Linked DNA regions of Daphnia pulex. The protein of the gene in region 1 interacts with the protein of each later gene in a pairwise test. Links are inferred from orthologs where the notes say so. Each region holds a gene or a part of one and is shown on either strand. Other genes may lie near its edges. The genes, in order: transcription initiation factor TFIID subunit 1-like and transcription initiation factor TFIID subunit 4-like.

Evidence for each region.
Region 2: the proteins of transcription initiation factor TFIID subunit 1-like (region 1) and transcription initiation factor TFIID subunit 4-like interact in binary tests that used the Drosophila melanogaster proteins (3 or more experiments, as listed by UniProt). The link is inferred for Daphnia pulex from reciprocal best matches to the Drosophila melanogaster genes Taf1 and Taf4.

The regions. Positions count from the first base shown.
Region 1 is NC_060026.1:11,815,594-11,822,062, reverse strand, and holds the start of transcription initiation factor TFIID subunit 1-like, read left to right. Parts: upstream 1-1,959; 5' UTR 1,960-2,100; coding exon 2,101-3,004; intron 3,005-3,063; coding exon 3,064-3,861; intron 3,862-3,926; coding exon 3,927-4,302; intron 4,303-4,363; coding exon 4,364-4,667; intron 4,668-4,735; coding exon 4,736-4,893; intron 4,894-4,969; coding exon 4,970-6,212; intron 6,213-6,274; coding exon 6,275-6,469. Other genes in the region: ADP,ATP carrier protein 1-like, read right to left, coding at 1-56, 125-386, 776-941. UniProt on the Drosophila melanogaster protein: TFIID is a multimeric protein complex that plays a central role in mediating promoter responses to various activators and repressors. Largest component and core scaffold of the complex.
Region 2 is NC_060026.1:12,793,083-12,799,668, reverse strand, and holds the start of transcription initiation factor TFIID subunit 4-like, read left to right. Parts: upstream 1-2,833; 5' UTR 2,834-2,840; coding exon 2,841-3,273; intron 3,274-3,364; coding exon 3,365-3,918; intron 3,919-3,974; coding exon 3,975-4,394; intron 4,395-4,458; coding exon 4,459-4,668; intron 4,669-4,752; coding exon 4,753-5,602; intron 5,603-5,670; coding exon 5,671-5,984; intron 5,985-6,064; coding exon 6,065-6,187; intron 6,188-6,251; coding exon 6,252-6,365; 3' UTR 6,366-6,586. Other genes in the region: metaxin-2-like, read left to right, coding at 1,410-1,455, 1,518-1,645, 1,705-1,821, 1,876-1,968, 2,041-2,205, 2,264-2,340, 2,404-2,596. UniProt on the Drosophila melanogaster protein: TFIID is a multimeric protein complex that plays a central role in mediating promoter responses to various activators and repressors.

The DNA.
Region 1 (6,469 bases):
TAACCAAACCACTGTACTCGCGCTCGGCAGCTCCTTTGCCGACATCAGCACCCAAACTAGTCAATAAAGCAATTAGTTAGCATATTTTGTACTTTTAGTTTTTACGTATGATTCTGTATAATACCGGGTACGGGCGAAGTCCAAGGGGTAGACGAAGCAAAGAGAGGTAGCTCCTGCAGCACCACCAGATGCCAAGTTAGCGGCAAACCAGGCCCAGAACTGGGTCTTCTTGTCAACTCCCTTCATGAAGATGTTCTTGTAGACATCCTTGAAGGCAAAGTTGAGGGCCTGAGTGGGGAAGTAACGGATAACATTGGCAAGGTTACCACGCCAGAAGGCTGTCATGCCCTGTTCTTTGGGGATACGGACAAAGGCATCCACAATACCTGGAAAAAGAAACATAAATTATTGTAAAAACCCAGTTCACACAAGATATAGATACTAGGTGTTGACCCAATTATGAGTCTCATGTAAAACTCATATATGGTTACTTTCACAATCCAAAATCTTATCTTTTCAAGTCACACACATTCAATTCCAGAACTAGCAAAAACTGGTTTACATGATCAAAAGCCCATGAGGCGAACGAACATACTAGCTGAGCATACAAGAACAATGTAAAAATATCTTTTAAACTTTGCGAGAAAAACTTAAGGATTTTTTGTGATCCAACATGGCGCCGTGCCGGCGTGAGCCGGTTCGGAACCAACGGTAGAATATCTCTCCCGATTAAGTAACTAGAGAAGGGGGGGGGGAGGGGATTCAGCCATCTTACCCTTGTACTGCTTGTCGGCCGTGATCTGTTTGGAGGCATGTTGAACCTGAAGGAGCAGCTTAACTCGTTCAATTGGGGCGACGGCCGTCTTGGAAACGGCAGCCGAAACACCACCAGCGATAAAGTCCTTGGCAAAGGACAGAGGATCAGCGGTTTTACCAGACATTTTCAGTGGTTTTTTTCAACAAGCAGAAACGATGGGAGAGCCGGGCAGATTGTGCACGTGTTGAGACTTCGAGCACGAAAGGGAAGAGTACGAGTCTGGTCTCTGAGTTTCTACCTTCGGTCTTTTAACAATTCAGTGGTGCCCTCTAAGGTGCCTTGGTTACGGCCACAATTCAAAGGCCTGTCAACTCGATTGAGATTGCGCATTTAATCAAGTTTCCAGTCATGACCGCTAGGTCGGAATTGATCATAATTTACAATATCATTTCTTCACTTCTTGAACCTTAATTGACCATTTCTCTGCCTTAATAATAATGTGCTATTTTCAAGAGAATTTTACAAATGTAATTTTTCAGTTATTTGCAGTTTTTAATTAAAATTGAATGTAGTTTTGTGCAACGCCACCTGTGATCAATTCACTTCAGTTAGCTTATATGAAAGGCCTTCGCCAATCTACTGGGACTTCGATTTTTCTAAGGACCAATCCAAAAATCCGTTAGTAACGGATTTTACAAGTGCCTTAGGCATTTTCACGTGACGGGGATAGGAAAATGCCGCCCTTTTGGCGCCTTTTACTTTTTTTATGTTAGAAGATTATCAAATAGGGGGAGGAATCCCCATTGGGGTGTACTTCGACCCTAATGACCCTATATGAACCCGATTGATGTAATCAAGAATTATGTAATTATCTCATCTCATCGATATTGCGAAATGAATGAATTCCCGAAAATGCATAAAATGAATTCAGTTGTAAAGGGTAAAAAAATCTGGATGAAACCAAAAATGGAAAGTTTGATGGATAGTTGCCAACTCGACTGGGCCGTATAACCTACATATTTCTCTATGGAATGACGTCATCTGAATTCACACGGAATCTTGTCACGTAGTTTGGCCAGTTATTTCTCTTAATTATTTATGTAAACAATTCAATGATCTTTTCTGGAATTATTTAGTCATTTAACAATTCTTAAATAAAATAATCAAGTTGAAATTGAGTTGAAACTAAACCTGGCAACGCTGTTCATATTTACCATCAAGACAATTTTCGGCTTCCCGTCAGCCTGTTTGTGTTGATTTGATGACCGAAAAAAAGTAAAACTAAATTTGTGTTTGTTATGATTGCGTGATTCTTCTAAAGCTAGGATTTTAAAACATCCAAAATGCCAAGCAGTGATGAAGAAAACGAAAATCACAGTAGTGATGATGATGGAGATTTGAGTAATAGCCCCGATAATAATGATGACGATTCGCAATCATCTCAAGAAGACGGAGGTGGAGGAGGTAGAAGAACATCAGGATTAAACCTTACTGGGTTCCTCTTTGGTAATATTGACAAAGAGGGTAAACTTGAAGCAGATATCCTTGATGAGGAATCTAAACGTCAGCTGGGCACCCTTGGACGATTTGGCTTGATGTCAATACTTCAAAATGTCATTAGAGAAGACGATTCTGTAAGCAAAGATCAAAGTACAGATTCTGAAGATGATGGAGCAAAATCTCCAACTGCTGAAGACTATTCTGACATCAACGAACTGGCAGAAGACGAAGGAGGACCATATCTTGATGACTCAATCCTCATGCCACCACCACCTACACCAACATCCAAGAGCCTTTCGGCAAGTGAGGCAAAGAAACGATTGGAAACGCCTTTGGCAGCCATGCTTCCTTCCAAATACGCTAACATAGATGTGAGAGAGCTATTCCCAGACTTTCGGCCTGACAAAGTCTTGTGCTTTTCCAGACTCTTTGGGCCTGGAAAACCCAGTAGTCTTCCTCAAATCTGGAGAGGTGTAAAGAAGAAGAGAAAGAAGAAGAAATCTCCAGATTCAGAAGACTATGTTGAAGAGGAAATTGAACATGTAGAAATCACTTTCAAATTCGGCCCACCTCCTCCTCCGGAAAAATGCAGACCAGATGACGAAGAACGTTTCTTAAAGCCTCTAGAAGATCCTAATGCTCTCAATAATATCAAGAACTCTGATGATGACAAAGGACCCAATGTAGCGGATTGGAGGTTTGGGCCGGCTCAGCTTTGGTATGACATCCTTGGAGTTCCAGAATCAGGTATAACAATTAATTAATTATTTATTTGAACTTGATTAACGTTTCCTTGCTTTTTATAGGAGAAGAGTTTGATTACGGTTTCAAAGTGAAACGGAAAGATCCTAATAATGTTGACGAAGATGGCAAAGACCTGCCCGGGTTCAAATTTCCAGACGAGGCCTTTCACATGATCACGCAGTTAAATTGGGAAGACGACGTGGTCTGGAATGGCGACGATATCAAGCACAAAGTAATGCAAAAATTGAATGCAAAAGGTGGCTTAGCCTCAGGATGGCTCCCGACGGCTACCAATCGCTTGGCTACACAGAAAGCCACCCCTGCTGCCACTCCAGCCACCGGTAAAGCAGCAACTCCTGGAGCTAAAGGTGGCGCAAAATCGGCTGCAAACAAACCCGGAGGAGCGGCCGCAGCAGCCGCTGCCGCCGCCGCTGCGGCTGCTGCTGCTGCAGCCGTCGAAGAGGCAGCCGACGACGTTTGGCATTCGATTTTCCCAGTCGAAAACGACGAGTTGGTGTTTGGCCAGTGGGAAGATGACATCATCTGGGACAGCGAAAACATGAAGGAGATGCCCAAACCCAAGATATTGACACTAGACACTAACGATGAAAACGTCATTTTGACCATTCCTGATGACATTGATCCTGCCACAAAACAAGCATACGTTCAACAGCCTGTCAAAGTCAAGATTCCTCATCCTCACGTCCGAAAATCCAAGTTACTCTTGGGAAAAGCCGGTGTCATTAACGTATTGGAAGACGATTCACCTCCTCCACCGTCGGAAAATAACGATAAAGATCCTTACAATATCTCCAATGACGAATATTATGCAGCCAAAGCGACCGAGGCGGCTATCAAAGGTAAATTAATCCATCACAACTAAATTTTAAAAACTTAATTAATTGGAATTTATGGAATATTACAGTCAGCACGGGTGGAAATATCATTCAACATTCAACGCCCGTGGTGGAACTCCAGGCACCTTTCATTCCCACGCACCTGTCGATAATGAAACTGCGCAGTTTCCATCGACCACCGCTCAAACGCTACTCCCATGGACCGTTATCGACACCTGGCCCTCATCCTGTCCACCCGCTCCTACGCCACATCAGAAAAATGGCCAAACAGCGTGAACTCGAGCGAATGGCTGCCGGTGGTGGTGATATCTTTTTCATGCGAACACCGGATGATCTCAGCGGTAAAGATGGTGATCTCATTCTCCTGGAATACTGCGAAGAACACCCGCCGTTAATCAGTCAAGTGGGCATGTCCTCCAGGCTGAAAAATTATTACAAACGGAAGTGAGTTTTCATTTTTAAAACGGAATTTGATCGAGAGACTTAAATTTAATTTATTTCACAGGGCTGTCAAAGACACAGGGCCGCCTCAATACAAATACGGTGAAACAGCTTACGCTCACACCTCACCGTTTTTGGGTACCCTCCATCCGGGCCAGTCCATCCAGGCTATTGAAAACAACATGTACCGTGCACCAATCTACGAACATCAATTGCCGTCGACGGATTTCCTAGTAATTCGAACGCGGACAACGTACCATGTCCGTGAAGTCGATGCATTCTACACTGTCGGTCAGGAATGTCCACTGTACGAAGTGCCCGGTCCGAATTCTAAAAGAGCCAACAACTTTACCCGCGATTTCCTACAAGTATTCAACTAAAGTCATTCTAATAGTCTTCTATGAAACATCCAAACAAAATGTTTATTTTAATTCAGGTCTTTATCTACCGACTGTTTTGGAAGAGCCCCGACACTCCACGTCGTATCCGCATGGATGACATTAAACGAGCTTTCCCAGCACATTCCGAAAGCAGTATCCGCAAACGGTTGAAACTATGCGCGGACTTTAAGCGAACAGGAGTCGACTCCAATTGGTATTTCGTAGTATAATAATTCATACTCCAACGGATGTCCAAATTGCTCATTTTTGGTTACCGACAAATTCAACAGGTGGGTATTGCGGCCGGATTTCCGGTTACCTTCGGAAGAAGAGCTTCGAGCGTTAGTGTCGCCGGAGCAATGTTGCGCCTATTTCAGTATGATCGCGGCCGAACAGCGTTTGAAAGACGCCGGTTACGGTGAGAAATTCCTTTTCGCACCTGAGCAGGATGACGACGAAGACCAGCAACTGAAAATGGACGACGAAGTCAAAGTAGCCCCATGGAACACCACCCGCGCCTACGTCCAGGCCATGAAAAACAAATGTCTCCTGCAATTAACAGGTCCGGCAGATCCTACCGGTTGTGGCGAAGGTTTCTCCTACGTCCGCGTTCCCAACAAACCGACCATCAACAAGGAAGAGCTGGAATCTCAACCTAAACGTATTGTGACGGGCACCGACGCCGATTTGCGTCGATTGTCACTCAACAACGCAAAAGCAATTTTGAGGAAACACGGCGTACCTGAGGAGGAAATCAAGAAACTCTCCCGCTGGGAAGTTATTGACGTCGTCCGAACACTTTCCACCGAAAAGGCCAAGGCCGGCGAGGAAGGCATGGACAAATTCTCCCGTGGTAATCGCTTCTCCATTGCCGAGCATCAGGAGCGATACAAGGAGGAGTGTCAACGCATTTTTGATCTTCAAAACCGAGTCCTGGCCTCGAACGAAGTTTTGTCCACCGACGAAGGCGAAAGCGAAGAGGAGGAAGACATTTCTGATATCGAAGAAATGGGTAAAAACATTGAAAACATGCTGGCCAATAAAAAGACGTCCAGCCAGTTGAGCCGAGAGCGGGAAGAACAGGAGCGTCGTGAATTGCAAAAGATGATCCTCGGCGAAGGATCGGGCTCCATGAAGAAAGATAAGAGCCGTGTAGGACTGGACGAAGAAGACAGTTCATCTCAACCGCCGCTGGCAGGAGCCGGACAGGCCGGTCGAGTGCTCAAAATTTTCCGGACCTTCAAAAACGCCGAGGGCAAAGACTACACCCGCGTTGAATTGGTTCGCAAACCGGCCATCATCGACACTTACGTCCGAATACGAACGACCAAAGATGACGCCTTCATCAAACAGTTTGCCACGCCCGACGAGCACCAAAAGGAGGAAATGAAACGTGAGAAACGTCGAATCCAGGAGCAACTCAGACGACTCAAACGCAATCAAGAAAAAGAGAAATTAGGCATCGTTAACAATCGCCGTCGTAAAGTCAAGATGAAGCCCGATTTGAAAATGAAATGCGGTGCCTGCGGACAGGTAACTTTCCTTGTAATTAACGGCCTTGTTTCTGTTTATTAATTATGCTAATGTATCGATAGGTGGGTCACATGAGGACCAATAAAGCTTGCCCGCTCTATCAAAACACCACCCCGTTGCCACCGATGGTTGTGGCCATGACGGAGGATCAAGAGGAGGAAATTGAAAAGCAAATCTTTAGCGAAGATGAAGAATTGGTCAATGTCGACGGTACCAAAGTGAAATTGTCCGGCAAGCTGGTCAAACACGCCGAGGAA
Region 2 (6,586 bases), about 980 kb from region 1:
GTATTTTGAAAGTCGAGAATTTCTTGAATAAACTAAAACAAATGTTTGGTAGTCGATTTCTACTGTGTTATATAATTTTCATCTGGCGTTTCTTGTTGACGTGTGACAACGTGGCGCTGTCTGCATTTGTTATGAGAAGTCGCTCAGCGCCATCTTGCGTTGGGAGCCTTGCCTACATGGTTGGAAAATAATTTGGTGACATTGTCAGTCAATTCAATTGAGAGAGTTGGCCGAGTCCCGTTGCGTTTTTTATTGCTCGAAAGCGCATTACGTGCATAATAAATGCAGTCGGATGAAAAATATTTTCCCGAATGATAAATATTGAAATGTCAAAAGTCTACGACTCTTCTCCGAAAAAGGTTTGGTCTGTCTGGGCTACGATGGGACGGCGATGACAAGGTCTGTTGACACAAGGACGTCAGATAGCACCAAACAACGCGATTCCTTGAATTTCTAATACAACAAACAAATGAAAAAGTCTCGAAATGGACCCTCAACGAAGATCTTCGTCATTGTCTCGTGGAAAAAGTCGGCAGAGCTCCCGGAAAACGTTTCGCATATCATTAATAATAAATCCCCGAATAGTTTGCCTTATTCGAAGGCTAAATATAGCTTGAAATTTCACTACAAAAAAGCGGTCAATGAAAAACTTGTGAATAACTTGATGTTGCGACCACTTTCGGCATCCTGGAAACAAGATACTGAATTGTTACGGTTTTTTTTAGCATCAATTGGTATCAATTACCATCACGAGAAAATAACGCGCACTTCGACAAATAATAGAACTTGGGTCAGAAATCAAGTTTTTTAAAGGTAAAAATCAGGAGCAGTAAATTAAAAACAGATTTCAAAACACACAAAAACAGGTCGGTCCTAGAGGGAAATTTACGCTTGCAAAAAGGGAACTGATTATTATGTGGAGCACGACGACGTGTTCTAGCGACATTCGCATTTCGCGGTACGATGTGGCAAGTACATTTCGTAGAAATGCATTTAGAAGGGCGTTGAAAAGCAGAAAGTTACGTTACAGGTGAACATTTAACTATATTTAATATAAAAAACAAATTGGTAGAAATATTTATTAATTAATACATTCTCTATCAACCTGTATTTTCACAGCAAAACATTTTGAATTTTGAATACGTTTGATTACAAATATAATTATGATTTATGATGCAATAATTATTTCAATGACAAATTTTTACTACAATTCTTAAATATCTAGTTACTAGTTGGTCAGTAAATTAAGCTTATTAGAAAAATCCAATTTTGAAATTTATTTTGGGTTCATCATTTTTGCGTAATTTGGCAACTCTGAATAAAAACCGCAGCAGCCGATCTAAAAATAATTCCGTATTGATGTTGTGATTTTCTTATTTTAGCCGATAAAAGTTTAATTCATTACGATAATGCCATCAGTTTTACTAACAGACTCTATTTCATTAGAGCTTGGAGGTAATCATTTTGGATATTTTATATTTTCACATTTATTTCTCACTTTTAAAAAAACCTAATAGCTTTGGAACCTTGGCCTTCTGACGTCAAACTTTATCAGCCCTATGAAGTTGAACAAATTCTATTGCAAGATCAAGCCAATTCTTTGGCTGTCCAAGTTTTTCTGCGAATGTGTGGTTTAGAATTTCAGGTAAATTGGAAAACTAAAACTAAGGAAATCTTAAGTTATTGATTTATTTCTTTTCTTAGGTGGAAATGAGAAGCAATGCTGAGCATATGTCACCATCCGGAAAATTGCCTTTCATAAAATGTGGTGCCTTTGTAGTAGCTGATCTTGACCCTGTTGTCAGTTTTGTGAGCAACAAGGTATTTTCAATATTTTCTCTACAATCCCATTTTATGACGTGTTTTTTTTTGTAGGGTATAAATCTTACAGATCACTTGGATGCTGCTCAAAAAGCAGACATGAGAGCTTACATGTCTTTAGCAAACAATATATTGGGAAATGCAGAGGTATTATATTATTATATTTGTAACTACTTTTGTGTGTTATGTGATTGATGAGCAGTGTTTGTTCCTACTTAGTTATATATCAGCTGGTGTGATGAAACTGTTTTGAATGAAGTAACTGGTCCTCGTTATGGCTCTGTCTATTCTTGGCCTTTGAACACTCTGCTAACCTGGAGAAAACAGAAACAAGTAACTAAGAAATTAACTGCTCTTGGCTGGATTACCAAAACACTTGATGAGGTGATTTGTTTGGTCTAATAGTTTTTGCATTAGAAAATTATTTATTATTTTCCTGCAGGTATATGAAGATGTTGATCATTGCTGTAATGCGCTAAGTGAGCGATTAGGAAACCACCTTTATTTCTTTAATGATAGGTATTAAATTTTTTAAAATGGGTTTCTAATAAAATAAGTGCTGACTTTGTTCCTCGTCATTAGATGCACGGAATTAGATGCGGTTGTCTTTGGCCATGTGTTTACTTTGCTGACCACACCGTTGCCCGACAATAGATTAGCATCCATTGTGCGATCCTACCCGAATCTGGTCGAGGCTTGCCAGTTCCTTGAGAAGACTTACTTCCAGAAACCAACCGCCAAGACAACGGACGATGACAGCGATAATTTTGACTAAGTTCAAATAGTATAGGAAAAGTTGTAAAGTTTATAATAGCCCCATACTTCTGAGATTTACACGCTATTATATTTCATTGATATGATATCCTTTAGAGTAAGCACACACGCGGTTATTAAATACAAGAGTAGAAAATTCAAAAAAATATAGTAAAGGGTTTGAAAAATGAACACTAGGTGGTTTGACTATGCTAGGGGAGGAGTGACACGTTTCAACGTTTTGCCGCTAGGGCAGAGGTTGGGAAATGAGCTGCTTACAGTCAGTTTGGGAACCGGGTTCGGAGCAGAAAATGGCGTCTAGCTTCCTGGACGATTTAATCTCGAACCCGTCAGCGGATGCCGACGCTGTCTCCGCGTTAGTTGGATCACTTGAGAGCCAGTTGAGTAATGCAAATGTTGGTGCTAGTAATAACACACAAGGCGGCGGCTTGGCTTTTACGACAAGCTCTACCTCGTCGGTTCCTCCACCGCTGCAGCCTGCCAATACCCCGTCCGCTGCCACCACAACGGCAACATTCGCGGGAAACGGCAGTAGCCTGCACGCAACAACAACTTGCGCGCCAGCAGCATCAGTTCCGATCGGATCGGCGCTGTCAACGGTCCCTTCTTCAGTCTCTTCTATTCATTTACCAAACACCACCACCGTCCATTCAATACTTCCCAATGGCAATCCCAGTGGTAACACGACAATGTTATTTTTTCATGAACGAAACTGTATTGGACTTGGATTATGAGCTGATAACTGATTGTACTTCTTTCGTTCCTATAGGTATGGTCAACATCCAACAATTTGCAGGAGGTGCTATTGGTCTACCAAATGGCACAGTGGTCACAAGCTCAGGGAACGTTAACACAACACTGTCTGGTATGGTGATCCATCAGCAACAACAGAAGATGGTAGCGTCAACAGCTACTTCTCAGCAACCTACGATGATCATTCCGACTAAAGTTAACCAAACAGTAGCTTCAACAACAGTGATGGGACAGCAACAGCATCATCAACAACAACAACAACAAACTGTGCTGAACACTAATGGAACAGTCACCCTGAATTCATCTCAAGTGTTAAGACAGGGGACCCAAGTGGTTCAACAGCAGCAGCAGACGACCGTGATAAATAGTGCGGGGACAGGAATTCTTCCTGCGGGTGTGCAAGTAGTGAACATGAATGCTATGAGGCCGCAAAACGTACAAAACCTACAAAATATGGCCGCCTTGAACAATCCAGCTCATCGGACGCTTGCTCCTCGTGTGATGTTGGCACCTCAACAGATGGTTGGTGCTCGACCTGGACAAATGGGAATTACTTTACAAGCCTTACAAGTAACGTATCGATTAATAATATAAATCCCCGTGCTGATTGATTCTCTAATTAAAAGGGTTTCCAGGCTGCGGGAGCTCAGGGTCACTTGCTCGTCAAAACCGAAACGGGACAGTATCAGCTCTTACGTGTCGGTCCCGGTCCTGTAGCCGGCACGACAGTTGGGTCACAAGTTGTAACTTCAAACATTCCCTCGTTGCAAAATGTGGCCCAACAGCAGCAGCAACAACAACAACAACCTCAACAACAGCAGCAACAACAAAATATTCAACAATTAACAACGACTTCGAACGCTGTGCCCACGATGAATCAAAACGTTGGGGCTACTTATCGTTTGCAAGTCCCCGTGTCCACAACTATTCAACCTGTGTCCGCTACGACTGCGGCACCTGTTGGTGGGAGTGTGTCTGTTACCCCTACGAACACTTCGGCTCCCACCGCAGCCCCAGCATCAAATCCAGCCAGTAATTCTGGACAGGTGAATACAAACAAGTTCGATGTTTAATAGGATGGCTATTAAAACTTATCATATCCACTTACAGATGACCCCCGACACGGCCAAAGTCAAGTGCAAAAACTTTTTGTCCACTCTGCTACGTCTAGCGAGTGAACAGCCGGAATCTGTGGCCACTAACGTTCAAATGCTCATTCAGGGTTTAGTTGATGCGAAGGTTGAACCAGAGGAGTTTACAACGAAGCTCCAAAGAGAACTCAACTCCTCTCCTCAGCCTTGCCTCATTCCATTTCTCAAGGTATTGTAAAGTTGATCCTACCACTCGACTGTACGTTGTTTGTATTTGTTCTTTATATTGGATTCTTGTTATTTGGTTTCACAGAAAAGCTTGCCCTACTTGAGACAATCCCTAGCTTTACGAGAGTTGCATATTGATGGAATCCGACCGCCAGCCTTAACTACGGTCAACGCTCCGCAGCCCATGGTTATACAACAACAACATCCTCAACAACAGAGTGTTGTCAACCGAGTGAACGCCGGGCCAACGCAGATACAAACTGTACGGCCAATGGGTGGGCAAGTTCGACTCCAAACACCTACAATGGTTGGCGCCTCTGCTGGCACTCTACCCGCTCCACGGCCACCTAGACCAGCAGCCAATAAAGCCACTCCAAAGGCCAAAGCAGCCCAGCAGGCACCTAAAGTGACTGCCACGACAACGGCGGCCGCTGCCTCGACCACAATGACGGCTGTTTCTACTATCAAGACGGAGCCTTCCATTACTTCCGAGTCCCCAGCGCCAATCGCTTTTACCATCCACCTGCCACAAGTCGGAGGAGTAACATCAGCGCCGACTGCCATAACGCCGGGTCCTACACCTTTGGTCACGGTAGCATCGACGTCTTCGGTTCCGACGTCTAGTACGGCAACAAAGCCAACGACTTCGGCGGCAACAGTTTCCGTTGGTCCGGGTGGTATCAAAGGTCCTCTACCTGTACCAACTGGGCCCAAAGACGCTTCGAAGGAGAAAAAAGCTTTTACGTTTGGTTCGTCTCTAGCTGGTCTAGCGGACAACGACATCAACGATGTAGCGGCTATGGGTGGAGTTAACTTGGCAGAAGAATCGCAGCGTATTCTTGGCTCCACCGATATGATTGGTACTCAAATTCGATCCTGCAAAGACGAAAATTTCCTTTTCACCGGTCCCTTGCAGAGGAGAATCCAACAAATTGGTATTGACATCTGTTTTCTTGTTAGAGAAATCGACAAAGCTAATGATTTTATTACGTTTGTTTTTTAGCCTCCAGGAACGGTCTAGGAGATCCTAGTCCGGAAGTAGTTTCGCTTATATCACATGCCACTCAAGAACGATTGAAAACATTGTTGGAAAAGCTTGCCGTCACCGCCGAGCATCGAATGGAAGTTGTCAAAACAGACGCTCGTTACGAAGTCCAACAGGATGTCAAGGGTCAGCTAAAATTCCTCGAGGAACTGGACAAGTTGGAGCGACGAAGGCATAGCGAGATTCAACGCGAAATGCTTTTGAAAGCAGCAAAATCACGTTCGAAAGCTGAAGATCCTGAACAGGCAAAGTTGAAAGCAAAAGCAAAGGAGGTACGTGATAAAATATCTCGTTATAACTGTCACCTTCAAATTCAATGTTGTTAAACTTTGAAAAATTTATTAATTGACAGATGCAACGAGCGGAAATGGAGGAACTGAGACAACGCGAGGCCAACATGACAGCCTTGCAAGCTATTGGTATAAGGAAAAAGCCCAAACTCGACCTGGCTGGTACTACCGGCTCTTACAACCAGGTAAAATCGAACTTTATATTGCATTAAAAGAATTCAATTTTTACCGTTCCAATATTTGTTTTAGGTGCCTTTACGACCGCGTGTCAAGCGCGTAAATCTTCGGGATTTACTGTTCCTGCTAAAAGAAGAGAAAGGAACTATAAGATCCCCTCTGTTGTATAAAGCTTATCTCAAGTAGTCTTCTTTTGTCTCCCTCATCTCTTAAAAAAACACACACACACGTAAGCGTTAAGTTGTTTGCCCATCAACATGCCTGTGAGAGGTGCACATAAGGTTTCCCTATGGGAGTAAAAAAATGAAGCGTTTTATTGGAGGGGAAAACAAGCCTCTGTCCGTCACACCGACACTCTTTATGTTAATTAAGAGCAACGTTATGCAACCATGTCCTTGTTCTCTTCT